3 linked regions of the Macaca mulatta genome follow. The main gene of each other region encodes a partner of the protein of the gene in region 3 in a complex. Links are inferred from orthologs where the notes say so. Each region holds a gene or a part of one and is shown on either strand. Other genes may lie near its edges.

Evidence for each region.
Region 1: APBA1 (region 3) and LIN7B share a complex: the UniProt entries of both Homo sapiens proteins name them as parts of the brain-specific heterotrimeric complex. The link is inferred for Macaca mulatta from reciprocal best matches to the Homo sapiens genes APBA1 and LIN7B.
Region 2: APBA1 (region 3) and LIN7A share a complex: the UniProt entries of both Homo sapiens proteins name them as parts of the brain-specific heterotrimeric complex. The link is inferred for Macaca mulatta from reciprocal best matches to the Homo sapiens genes APBA1 and LIN7A.

The regions. Positions count from the first base shown.
Region 1 is NC_133424.1:61,566,290-61,570,373, reverse strand, and holds the start of LIN7B (protein lin-7 homolog B), read right to left. Parts: upstream 2,820-4,084; 5' UTR 2,782-2,819; coding exon 2,745-2,781; intron 2,351-2,744; coding exon 2,232-2,350; intron 1,940-2,231; coding exon 1,868-1,939; intron 955-1,867; coding exon 745-954; intron 1-744. UniProt on the Homo sapiens protein: Plays a role in establishing and maintaining the asymmetric distribution of channels and receptors at the plasma membrane of polarized cells.
Region 2 is NC_133416.1:88,057,974-88,062,307, forward strand, and holds the start of LIN7A (protein lin-7 homolog A), read right to left. Parts: upstream 2,826-4,334; 5' UTR 2,614-2,825; coding exon 2,532-2,613; intron 2,325-2,531; exon of another isoform or gene 2,210-2,324; coding exon of another isoform or gene 1,755-2,209; intron 1,611-1,754; coding exon of another isoform or gene 1,427-1,610; exon of another isoform or gene 1-1,426. Other genes in the region: uncharacterized protein LOC114670904, read left to right, coding at 1,427-1,610, 1,755-2,209. UniProt on the Homo sapiens protein: Plays a role in establishing and maintaining the asymmetric distribution of channels and receptors at the plasma membrane of polarized cells.
Region 3 is NC_133420.1:100,467,910-100,471,445, forward strand, and holds part of APBA1 (amyloid-beta A4 precursor protein-binding family A member 1), read right to left. Parts: intron 3,090-3,536; coding exon 2,970-3,089; intron 862-2,969; coding exon 721-861; intron 1-720. UniProt on the Homo sapiens protein: Putative function in synaptic vesicle exocytosis by binding to Munc18-1, an essential component of the synaptic vesicle exocytotic machinery. May modulate processing of the amyloid-beta precursor protein (APP) and hence formation of APP-beta.

The sequences.
Region 1 (4,084 bases), on a different chromosome or scaffold from region 3:
ATGCAGTGGCACTATCTCGGCTCACTGCAACCTCTGCCTCCCAGGTTCAAGTGATTCCCCTGCCTCAGCCTCCCAAGTAGCAGGAATTACAGATGACTGCCACCACGCCCGGCTGATTTTTTGTACTTTCAGTAGAGACGGGGTTTCACGATGTTGGCCAGGCTGGTCTTGAACTGCTGACCTCAAGTGATCCACCTGCCTCGGCCTCCCAAATTGCTGGGATTACAGGTGTGAGGCACCACAGCCTGCCTAACCACAGTGATTTTAATTACCTGCATGCCCCAGACCTCCCTCAGAACTAAGCCCTTTCTTTTCAGCTCAGAGGTATGCCAAGTCCTTATCCTTATCTACAGTACCCTCAGCAGGAACACCCTTTACCTTGTTTGCCTGGAGAACTCCTACTCATCCTTCAACACCCAACCCAAATGTTCCTTACTCTGCAAAACTTTCCTGTATGTATGTTGGCCAGGTGCCACATCTGGGCTGTCACAGTACTTTGCAGTTCCTCATTATTATGTCTCTGGCTTAGGACTATTTCAGCCGAGGCCTACTGCCCTCCCCAGAGAGGGAAGGTTGAGTGTAGGAGCTGAGACCAACATCTCTCAGGGTCTGTAACACTGGCCAGCACAGGGCTAGCCATAGAGGCAGAGCTCAGTCAGTGTGTGTTGAGTGAATGTCAAAAGCAGGGGCTATGCTACCTTAGACAGACTGTGTCCCGCAGTCCTGCCTCAGCCCTCCACTCACCACACCGTTCACCGACAACAGTTGGTCCCCACGCTTGAGGCCTCCATGGCGGTCAGCCACACCCCCCGGGATGACCCGGGAGATGTAGATGGGCGAGTTCTGCTCTTTGCCACCCATGATGTTGAAGCCCAGGCCCTCATCCGTCTTGGGTAGCTCCACTACCCTGGGATGTGCGTGGCCCTCGCTGGCTGTGAAGGCAGCCACTGTGGCCTGGGAGAGAGAAAGCGACTGAAGATGAGGGCCCCTGCCAGGTGGGCAAGAAGGCTGGGGTGGGGGATCTGAACCGAGGACAGCGATTTAGCCTGGGTTACTATCCCCAAACATGGGACACGTGCCATGGCACAATGCAAGATCCCCCTTTAATGACTGTGCGTCCCTTTCTGTTCACTTGCAAGAGAAAGTGTCCATTTGGTGTGTGTCTTGAATACCCCATACTTGCCAATCTTTTTTTTTTTTTTTTTTTTTGAGATGAAGTCTCGCTCTGTTGCCCAGGCTGGAGTGCAGTGGCATGATCTTGGCTCACTGCAACCTCGGCCTCCTGAGTTCAAGCGATTCTCCTGTCTCAGCCTCCCGAGTAGCTGGGATTACAGGCACCCGCCACCACGATCGGCTTTTTTTTTTTTTTGTATTTCTATAGAGATGGGGTTTCACCATGTTGGCCAGGCTGGTCTCGAACTCCTGACCTCAAGTGAGCCACCTGACTCGGCCTCCCAAAGTGTTGGGATTATAGGCGTGAGTCACCGTGCCTGGCCGCAATCTTACTTTTAAACAGATGAAAGCCAGGCTTGGAGGGAGATCCGAGCCTCTGGGCAGCAGCAAGAGGTAGCATCTCACTATTGTGCAGTGAGAGATCAGAGCGCCATGACTTCCCTGGTTTCACTGTACAGATGTTGAAGGTTATCTTCTAGCCAGTCATGCCACACTGGTTTCCATTTGCAGTTGCTAAAGACGCCTTCGTATGACATTTAAGTTAAAAATGTGCGATTATTTAATAATGGTAAGAGTGGCACATAGATTTAGCAAAAATCATGAGGGAGGAAACAGAAATGACTGGCATGAAGGAGATACTGAGCTCGACCAGGCAGTTAAATAGACACCAGGAGCAATGAGGTGCGGGGCCCACCTTGGCTGTGGCATGGGCTCGGATTTCGGCGCTGCCAGTGATGTCCAGCGTGTCATAAAGCTGCTCATACACCTGGGTGAGGAGGCAGCGGCATCAGGGAGCTGCCAGTTCCTCCAGCCCTAGACGCAGGAGTCCGGGCCCCTAGACCCTCTCCCGCTGCCACGCAAGGATCCGCCCCGCCCCCGCAACCGGAGCCGGAGGAAACTACAACTCCCGAAGAACCACTGAGCTGAAGCGTGGGCACCCCAAGGCTGGCCGCCTCGGGAGCTGCCGGGAGGCGTAGTCCCCGGGCTCGGGACTAGCAGGAGGAGGAGGAAGAGGACGGCGGCCACCAGCTCGCGCCCTTGCGCCGCGCGCCGCTCACCTCTCGAATAGCGGAGCAGAAGCGGCTCTGCAGGACTCGCTGGAGGGCCTGCAGCTTCTGCGGGGGCAGCTCCCCGCTGCGCTGGAGCCGCTCGAGGAGCTCAACCGCCCGGGACACGTCTGCGGGGCGGGGGCGGGGCGCAGAGACCCCGAGACGCAGAGAAGCAAGGAGAGCGGCGGAGTGAGGCCGAGCGCACAGTCCAGGGAGGACCGCCGAAGCCCAGTCGGACACCCCGCAGAGTCCAGGGTGGCGCAGGAGAGACCGCCACCAGCCGGGCGCCCTGCAGCCCCAGGACCCCTCCACAGGCCGGGGTGTAAGGCGGGCGCCCCCCGCCCCGGCCTGGGCTCAGGGAGCCTCCCACACCCCGCGACCGCCCGGCCCCGGCGCCCGCCCCGCCCACCCCGCCGGGTCCGCTGGCCCACCCGCACTGGCCTGGCCTGGGAAGGGCGGGGACCGGGGGCTGGGTATGCAGGCCGCGGCCCGGGTGGGCAGGGCCCCCTGGCGCGCGCTTACCCCGCTCCAGCCCCAGCGGCTCCACCAGCGCAGCCATGTCGGCGCCACAGCTGCCAGCGGCCCGCCTGCCCCGGCGCGGGCGAGGAGGGCGGGGCTGCGCGAGGCCACGCCCCGGGCCACGGGCGCCCCCTGCGGAGGCGCAGCCTGGAGAGCGCCCAGCTCCCCCGCGCCGGACTGTCCCGACCCCCCTGCCGCGCGCCACCCGCGGCCCTGCCCTCCGTCCCGGCCCGTCGGTCCTGTTGGCGACTCCTCCCGTTGTAGGTTCGGTCTGTGTTTCTCTTTCAGGATCAGTGTCTGCCTGCCCTCCACACCTGTCTATCCCCTGTCCATTCTTTTCCCACATTCATTCAACAAACTCCTGTGAAACATCTGGGCCCAAGGCATGGACACTGTGGTGAGCAGGGCAGCCAAGCCCACGGCCCAAACGGAGCTTCCAGTCTATGGGAGAGGTAGACCACCAGCCACGGCTGTAATGAGAGCTGAGAGTGGGGAGGTAAGGATCTAGAAGACGAAGGAGATCCTAGAGCAGGGACATTGACATACAGTCCTGGGAGGTAAGATGAACAAGAGGTGGAGCTTGGGTCACCCCCACCACGCAGAAAGAGTCCACAGGGCTGGAAGCAGAGTTAGGATTGGTTGATGATGAGGTGAAAAGGCCGGCAGGATACAGTTTATGCCTGGGCTCCTGCGTTGGCATATGCGCCTTGAGGATTTGGGGCTTCATGCAAACTCCTAAGAGTAAAATATGACACTCAAATTTGTATTATTATTATTATTATTATTATTATTGAGACGGAGCCTCGCTCTGTCGCCTAGGTTGGGTCTCAGATTTGTATTTTAAGATCACTGGGGCCGGACGCGCTGGCTCACGCCTGTAATCCTAGCACTTTGGGAGGCTGAGGGGGGCGGATAGCCTGAGCTCAGAAGTTCGAGACCGGCCGGGCGCGGTGGCTCAAGCCTGTAATCCCAGCACTTTGGGAGGCCGAGACGGGCGGATCACGAGGTCAGGAGATCGAGACCATCCTGGCTAACACGGTGAAACCCCGTCTCTACTAAAAAAATACAAAAAACTAGCCGGGCGAGGTGGCGGGCGCCTGTAGTCCCAGCTACTCGGGAGGCTGAGGCAGGAGAATGGCGTAAACCCGGGAGGCGGAGCTTGCAGTGAGCCGACATCCGGCCACTGCACTCCAGCCTGGGCGGCAGAGCGAGACTCCGTCTCAAAAAAAAAAAAAAAAAAAAAAAAAAAAAAGAAGTTCGAGACCAGCTTGGACAACATGGTGAAACCCCGTCTCTACGAAAATACAAAAAAAAAAAAATAGCCGGCATGGTGGTGTGCGCCG
Region 2 (4,334 bases), on a different chromosome or scaffold from region 3:
AACTAAACATTAATTTTTTATTGTACTGTGAGTCAGGGACTATGGCAGACACTGAGAATTCAAAGATGAATTTAGAAATGGTCTCTTCCCTCAAGGAGTTCCATCCAATAGGGAGACAAATGCAACAGAGTGTGATAAATGCTTTAATGGGGCCAAAGCAGCAAGTCAATTTAAAGCATATCAAAGGGTACCAAAGCAGCCTGGGAGAGAGGTGATCTGGAAAATCTCCCAGTAGGTGACCAAAAACTGAGTCCTAACTCTAATTAATTGAATTATAGACTGCTAAAGCTGCACAGTGTTAGAATCATCTAATTCAAACTCCTGATGTGGCACAGAGAGAATCTGATGTCCAAAGAGGCTCATATATGCAGAGTGAGTATCAGAGTTACAACTGGGACCCAGATATGTAATACTGGGCTGCCTCTTTTAAAATGCACCTTTTTTTGCAGGGAAATTTTTAGAACCTTTTCTTTCATCAGTTTAATAATGAAAGTAATCAATTAATCATATTTTAATAAGGTACAGAGAACAATTATTTATTTATATTGACTTTATGCTCAGTGGTGATGCCAATAACCCATCATCTCTTGGTTATAGATTTTCATGAGCTGCTGGTGAATTTTTTCAGACCTATCCACAGGGTAACCCTGTTTGCCTCCTGAGCTACTCCATGGGCGTAATCACACTCAGAAGGACAAGTAGAGTTTGGTTGTGAACAAGAACAAACTTTAAGAATAAATCTTAGTCCGATTAGCACCTCCTCTCAACAACTGACTGAGGCATCTAAGGGCTAGGGTAAAAACCAAACATTGAAATATTTTTATTAGTAGTAGTAGTGGTAGTATATAAAATGACTCAAGTATGCAATCTTCTTGGAGTTTTTGCTCCTAATGTAGTCACTTGGTTTGGGATGTTTAATGACTGTGATTTTGTAATGGGACAATATAAGAGCACATCACATTAAAACATAAATACTTGGGAAGCCCATAGTTTCTGATAGCTTGCCATCTGTTTGGTTCTTACCGGCAATGGATTTATCCTGCTTAGTGCAGATGATGATATTGTGGGTAAGATCATGGATTATACAATGGATTTCTGAGGTCTTTAACTACTGTTATTAATTTTGCCAGCTTGCAAATCAACATTTTCTAATATAAAATCAATTACATTTTATTTTTCAACTCTTATCCTAAGAAAGGTTGCTATGGGCACCACATAACATCTGCTCTGGCGCCAACAGATTGCGTAAAGTCACCCACAGTCTCTTCAAATTAAAAACCTCAAACTGAGTTCACTGGCTTTGTCACTGTACTCCCAGCAGGATGCTCTTTTGCCTTGCCCCACCGTTCAGTTTAATCCTCTAGAAAGAAAATTTTTAGAGGTACATCGGACTAAATCATTTTTCTTCTGAGCACACAATTTCCAAATGGCCGCCCAGGGTCCTAAATCCGGCGGCTGCGGAGAGGGACTAGCGGGTGTCCTCCTCTGCAGAGCCGTGGGACTCGAGCGCCTTCATCACTGGACGTTGGAAGCCAGGAAGGAAACCCATACACTCAGGGACAGGTATAACCCCGCGCGGGTGCACCAGCGAGGCCCGGATCGCAGCAGAGGTCTCCATCCCTGAGCTTGGTGGGGGCGTCCTGGGGAGGAAGAGAACACTTTCCCCATTCGGGTCAGAGAGCAGGACTGACTGGGTCGCAGGTCAGAAGTTGAATTTTAACCCGACCTGCGCTTTGTCCCCGCGCCTTCCGCAGCCCGGGCGCCGCGGTGGCACAGAGCTGGGAGAGGACGAGAGAGGCTGGCGCGGGAGAAGCCGAGAGTTGCTACCGACTGGGAGCTGCCGGCGGCGGGAGCAGACGCGACCCTCGCCGCTTTCGAACGCGAAGCCGGGGAGAGCCGAACTCGGCTGCTGGGGCTCGGCTCCCCGCGCTCTGCCTTGCCCTTTCGGCGGAGGGCAGCTACCTGCCTGCTGCAGCCCCGCCACTGTGCGCCCGGCCGCCCCGGGGTGCGCCCAGCCCGCCCCCCGAGCGGCCGCCCTGACTCCAGCAGTTGGACCGACCCTCGCCCTCCGGCGCCTGGACAAACTTCCTTCCTCCCGCGCCCCCGCGCCGAGCAGGCTGACAGGCGGCTCCCTCGCCGGTCTCCTCTGGGCTCCGGCCGGGCGAGCTTGCTCTCTGCCCCTCTCCAACCCCGAGCCCCTGGCGCCTAGCCGTCCCCAAGCAGCCGCTCCAACAAAGCCAGAGGCCCGGAGACGACCCGGCGAGGGACTGGGAGTGGCAGCGGGGACCCTAGAGCCAGAAGGAGGAGTCCCCTCGGCGGGGCGAGTACAGTGGGAAGGGGCAGCGGGGATGTAGCGGGGAGAGAGAAGGGAAGAAAGTGTCCTGCTCTAGGCGCGAACGTCTTCCTGGCTCGTCCTCGCTCCCCTTCTCCCCCGGCCCGAGCGCGTCCCGTGTCCCGGTGGGAATTGGCAGGCGGGGGAGGGCGGAGGGGAGAGGGGACGCGGTGGCCTGGCTAGCGAGCCGCTCCCTTACCTCTGTCCAGGGTGAGCGGCTGGACCACTGTCAATGTCGCCATGTCTGCCGTGGGAGCCGAAGTGACGCTCGGCTTCAGCATCAGCAACCGCTCGTAGTGAGAAAAAAAGGAGGAGATTGGGGGCGGGGGTGGAGAGGGAAGACGGAAAGGAGGGGGAGGAGGGGGAAGAAAGAAGGTGGTGGTGGTGGAGAAGAAAGCTTGGGTGGGTTGGTAGCCAGATGGAGAGGCAACTGTTCCGCGGCGGCAGATCTTTCAGTTGCGGTGCGGAGCTGAGCAGGTATCCGAGAGCGACTGCATCGCCGGGCTCTGGGAGGGAAGGCTCTGCCCTGGAACTTTGCTATTCCACCCCCAGGAGCACTGGGTGGGTGTAGCTGGCGGACTGCTTTCTTTCAACTTTCCACTCTAATAAAATGGTCAGAATATACGTGTGTGCATGCGTGTGCGTGTGTGTCAGGGGAAGAGAGAGGATAGAAAGGGGATATGGGGGAGGGAGTGGGAGATGAGTTTTCTCAGATTAAGAGAAATTGCCAATCCAATAATCCCATCTCCTTTAGAGAGAAAATGCTTCAGTGTCAGAAATGTTTGGGATGCAATTACATTTGCAGTTAATTTCTGTTGAAGTTTTTCGGAATGTTGACCTATAACGGCATATAAAGATAACTGACTAAAGGCCAGAGTTCCATCAGTAGATGTTCATTTAGGATCTGAGTATATTGCCTGGAAAAAAAAAATATAGCAAACCTCTTAGAAGTGCTTCAAAATAAAAAGCATGGGGGTAAGTTTCTATCCCTAAGTTTTCTTTTCTTTTTCAAGCCACTGTTAATACATTACCAATTCAGTAAATGTAGCTCAGAAACAAGTAGAGTGTTCAGATTTTCTCCAAATTTTTTACATACCACGTCTTGTAAACATGTCCCACTCCCGCCCAGCCACTCAACAAAAACTTTGCTCTTAATGTCCAAACTGATTTTGGTTGTCTATCACTTAGTTTGAAAAATATGTGCCTAGCACTTTTCATGTTGATTTCTAACCAGTGGGTCAGAGATGTCACTTATTGATTAACAAATATGCCAGGAATTGAGATAGAAGAGTTACATTGCCTTGTGCCACGCCTTGATTTAGGAGTTCAATTTAGTCTCTGACTTCCTGTAGCCTGTAATCTAGTGGGAGATGGTGTTATTAAAAGCTTGACTTTAGAGCCAGTTGATCAGGATTAAATTACAAGAGCCTTCAAATACTGACTGTGACCTCTTCGCCCCAATAAAAAGGCTACTTTCACTATCTTGTCATAGTAGGGATTCATTTCCTGACATAAAGAAACCTTCTATAAGCTGAATAGGGGTGACTGTGGGTGCAGGATTGGAAATGACAAAGCTGCCTCCATCTTGTTCCCTGTGACAGAGCTGAATTGTTTGGGCTAGCAATAAACTCTAAAAGGCAGATACAGTTTTATAGCAAAATATTTGCATATAATTGATGCCATTTTCTTCTGATTACAGATATGGTTTCTGAAGGTCTTTTTCATTTTATAGTCTACAATTGAATTTTAAAAAGCAACATTTCACCAATGTGGGAAAGCCAAAGATGATTGGCCATATATAGACTTAACAGACCCTAAAAACAAACCTAAAATAGTAGTTCAATATGCTTATTTTTATTTAGTATTTAAGGAAGAATGCTGGTCTTGACATTTGAGTCTTAGTTATGTGCTCTTCAGAAGTCACACAATTTCTCACTGATCCTGTTTCCTCCTCTGTCATACGGTGAAAATATTATTCAACCTCAAAGAGATTCTGTCATAT
Region 3 (3,536 bases):
TGACAGCAGTGATGACTGACAGCAGTGATAACTGACAGCAGTGATGACTGACAGCAGTGATAAATGAATGACAGCAGTGATGACTGACAGCAGTGATAACTGACTGACAGCAGTGATGAATGACAGCAGTGATGACTGACAGCAGTGATGACTGACAGCAGTAATGACTGACTGACAGTAGTGATGAATGACAGCAGTGATGACTGACTGACAGCAGTGATGACTGACAGCAGTAATGACTGACTGACAGCAGTGATGACTGACTGACAGCAGTGATGACTGACAGCAGTGATGACACGTCACGCCACACTGCACTGGGGTCACACCTCTGGAGGGCCACTTTGTTGATTTGACTTGAGTCTAAGAGTTAAATCTTTTAAATACATTTGGGGAGATTAACTGGGGAAAATGGAGGCAACTTAGGCAACCATACAGAAAAGCAACAGAAAGCTGAGTGTTGAAAAGAGAAGGTGAGCACATCAGATGAAAGACAAGGCTGAGGGTGACCTGATTCCATTTCATGGAGAAGCTCCCGGACAACCGCTTGCAAATGTGTTTGGCGTTTGGTCAGAGACAGATAGGTCTGCTCGTTGGGGAGTGTTCAGGATTGGAAACTCAGGGAGCTTTCCTAGAAGGACTGCTCAGGGCCACAGTGGGCATATGAGGAAGGGGCACCAGACGCGGCCCTCAGCACCACCCCCAGCCCTGGATCTCTCCTACCTCCCCAACAGCATTGGAGAGAATGTGGACGATCTTCTCGTGGGGGGTGGCCACGACGCTCTGTCCATTGATTTCAATGATCCGGTGCCCCACACGGACGCCTCCTCTCTCAGCTATTCCCCCTCTCATGAGGCTGCAGATCTGCCAGAGTCAAAGGCTGTGTTACCCTCATGGCAGAGAGTGTGGCAGGGCTGGAAGGCCGTCTTTCCCGAAAGCCCCGCCCCCGCACTCTGCTCTTGGAGAAACTGACATGGTTAGGCTTTGGGCATTTAACTCTCTTAGTGTCTTTTCACAAAAGAATAGGTGCTGTTGGTCCACATGGCCACCTTGTTCATGTGGCTTGCGCAGAGACTGTAGCACATCACTGGTTTTTACAGCACACTGAATTCTACTTCTCATCCCAGCTGGGGCTGGGTAAAAAGGGCCATTTGGGCCTGTCGCAGAGTCGCCAGTGTTTTCAAACTGTTAGCCTGTGTGACGCAGGTTAGTGTTAGTTCCCGCAGTCATGACTGGGACTCAAGCACTCAAGCACCGAAGTGTTTAATGCAGCAGATTGTTTTTAGGGTCACAATTGCCTGAGCCACCGTGGGGCTGGAACTCCACCTCTGTGTTCCAAAGTGTGGCTGGCTGGGAGGGAGAGGCTCCTTTAGAGCTTCCCAATTCAGCGGCCCCTGTTCAAACTCCCTTCCCACAGAAACGACAGTGAGGCTGGATTTTGTGATGGCACAGTCAGCCACCACAGTGACCCGAGGCTGCAGGCGGGGCTGATGGGCCCTCCACCCTCACCTCACACACACTGCAACATAACTTTTCCCAAGAGTAGGTCTGAATTTACTAAGTTGGCTTTTCATTCCAGACCATGCACCTTTATTTTAAGTGGATGCAGACAAGATTGCAAGTGACATCTGGCAGCAACATGCTGTGTCATTCTGTGAGTGTGTGGCCCAGTTGCTCTCTCAGCTAGTCTGGGGTCAAAACATGCCTTAGGTGTTTTCCCAATGGACCCACAGGTGTTAACGACTCCTTGTTCATATCCAAACTTTTAATACTATTTAACTATGAACAAAGCAAACAAGTACAAGTGCAAACCAATGAAAAGATGATCTCAGAGCTAGACTGTAAAGAGTCAGCCTAGGTCCTCTCCTAATAAGTAAACTAGGCTACTCAGGTACGAAGAATGCAGGAAGTGGGGCTGGATATTTCAACTCCAAATGGGAAGTTCAAGGGTATTTCTAAACCTTAAAATGTATTTGGAATGATATTTTAATTATCTAGGACACTTTTTTTTTTTTTTGGAGACAGAATCTTGCTCTGTCGCCTAGGCTGGAGTACAGTGGCACAATCTCTGCTCACTGCAACCTTTGCCTCCCGGGTTCAGGTGATCCTCTTGCCTCACCCTCCTGAGTAACTGGGATTACAGGTGTCCGCCACCACACCTGGCTAATTTTTGTATTTTTAGTAGAGACTGGGTTTTGCCATGTTGGCCAGGCTGGTCTCGAACTCCTGGCCTTAAGTAATCCGTCTGGCTTCGCCTGAAGCCCAAGGTTTGAATGATCACTCAAACACCACACTGTGTGAATCCCAGTTGTGACTGTGGGAACTGAGCCGGCCCCTGCACTGCACAACCCCAGGCTTGGGAGTCAGCTGCTCTGCGGGGACTCTGTGCCGCCTGGGTGGACAGCCCAGAGGCGAGGAGGCTCTTGGAGGGTGCATCCCAAACTCTCAAGCTAGCAGCCAGGAGGACAGCCCTGCATGTCACAGAAATGCTGGGTTCTGGGCGGGAATCTCTGCTGAAGGGACTCTGTCCAGAGAGGGAGCTGAGCCTGCTTCATCCATCTTTCTTGATGGATTCCTTCAGGGAACAAACTGACTTTAAAAAAAAAAAAAAAAAAGAAAATCAAAGGCCCTGTAATACCAGCACTTTGGGAGACAGAGGCAGGCAGATCACGAGGTCAGGAGTTCAAGACCAGCCTGGCCAGTATGGTGAAACCCCATCTCTACTAAAAATACAAAAATTAGCTGGGCAGAGTGGCACATGCCTGTAGTCCCAGCTACTGAGGAGGCTGAGGCAGGAGAATCCCTTGAACCCAGGAGGTGGAGGTTGCAGTGAGCTGAGATAGTGCCACTGTACTCCATCTTGGATGACAGAGCAAGACTCCATCTCAATTAAAAAAAAAAAAAATCAAAGGCCATGCTACATTTTTATTTGTCAACATTGTGGAAAAGGATGTGGAAGGTGTTCTACTTACAATTCCGTTCTGGACACTGAAACCCAGCTGGTAGCGAAGGTCTGGTCTTCTGATTAACACGGTGGTGACCGGAGGACATCTCACAATATTCAGCTTGACTCGGGATTGATTCTTTAAGCCCTTAAACATGAATAAAGTACAGTGGGTATGGTGACCACTGAGGCAGACAGAATAAACAAAAGCAGGCAGCACCAAAGGCAAAAGAAGCCACACTGAGTTTTCCGTAGGACCCACTGCCTGCCTGCAGGCCTTCAGTGCCCAGGCTGGTACAGTCACTGCTCGGCTTCACCTACCCAGGGAAGATGCGACATGGTGCAGATGGAGCCCTTTCAGCCCATGCACAGATGGGGTTCCTGTGGGCAATGCCTTCCTTTTGGGAAGTGGACTAGGTTCAAGGGATCTGATCAAAGTACTTGCGCAACTATGAGGAAGTGTCAGATGTACTTTTTGACTTCAAAGATGAAGGAGGCACACTATTTCCCCCAGCCAGGAAAGACACGAGTGGGAAATGGATTTTCTTTCTGGAAGGCAAACTCTAGCAATGACTCCTCTTCTAACAAAGGACAT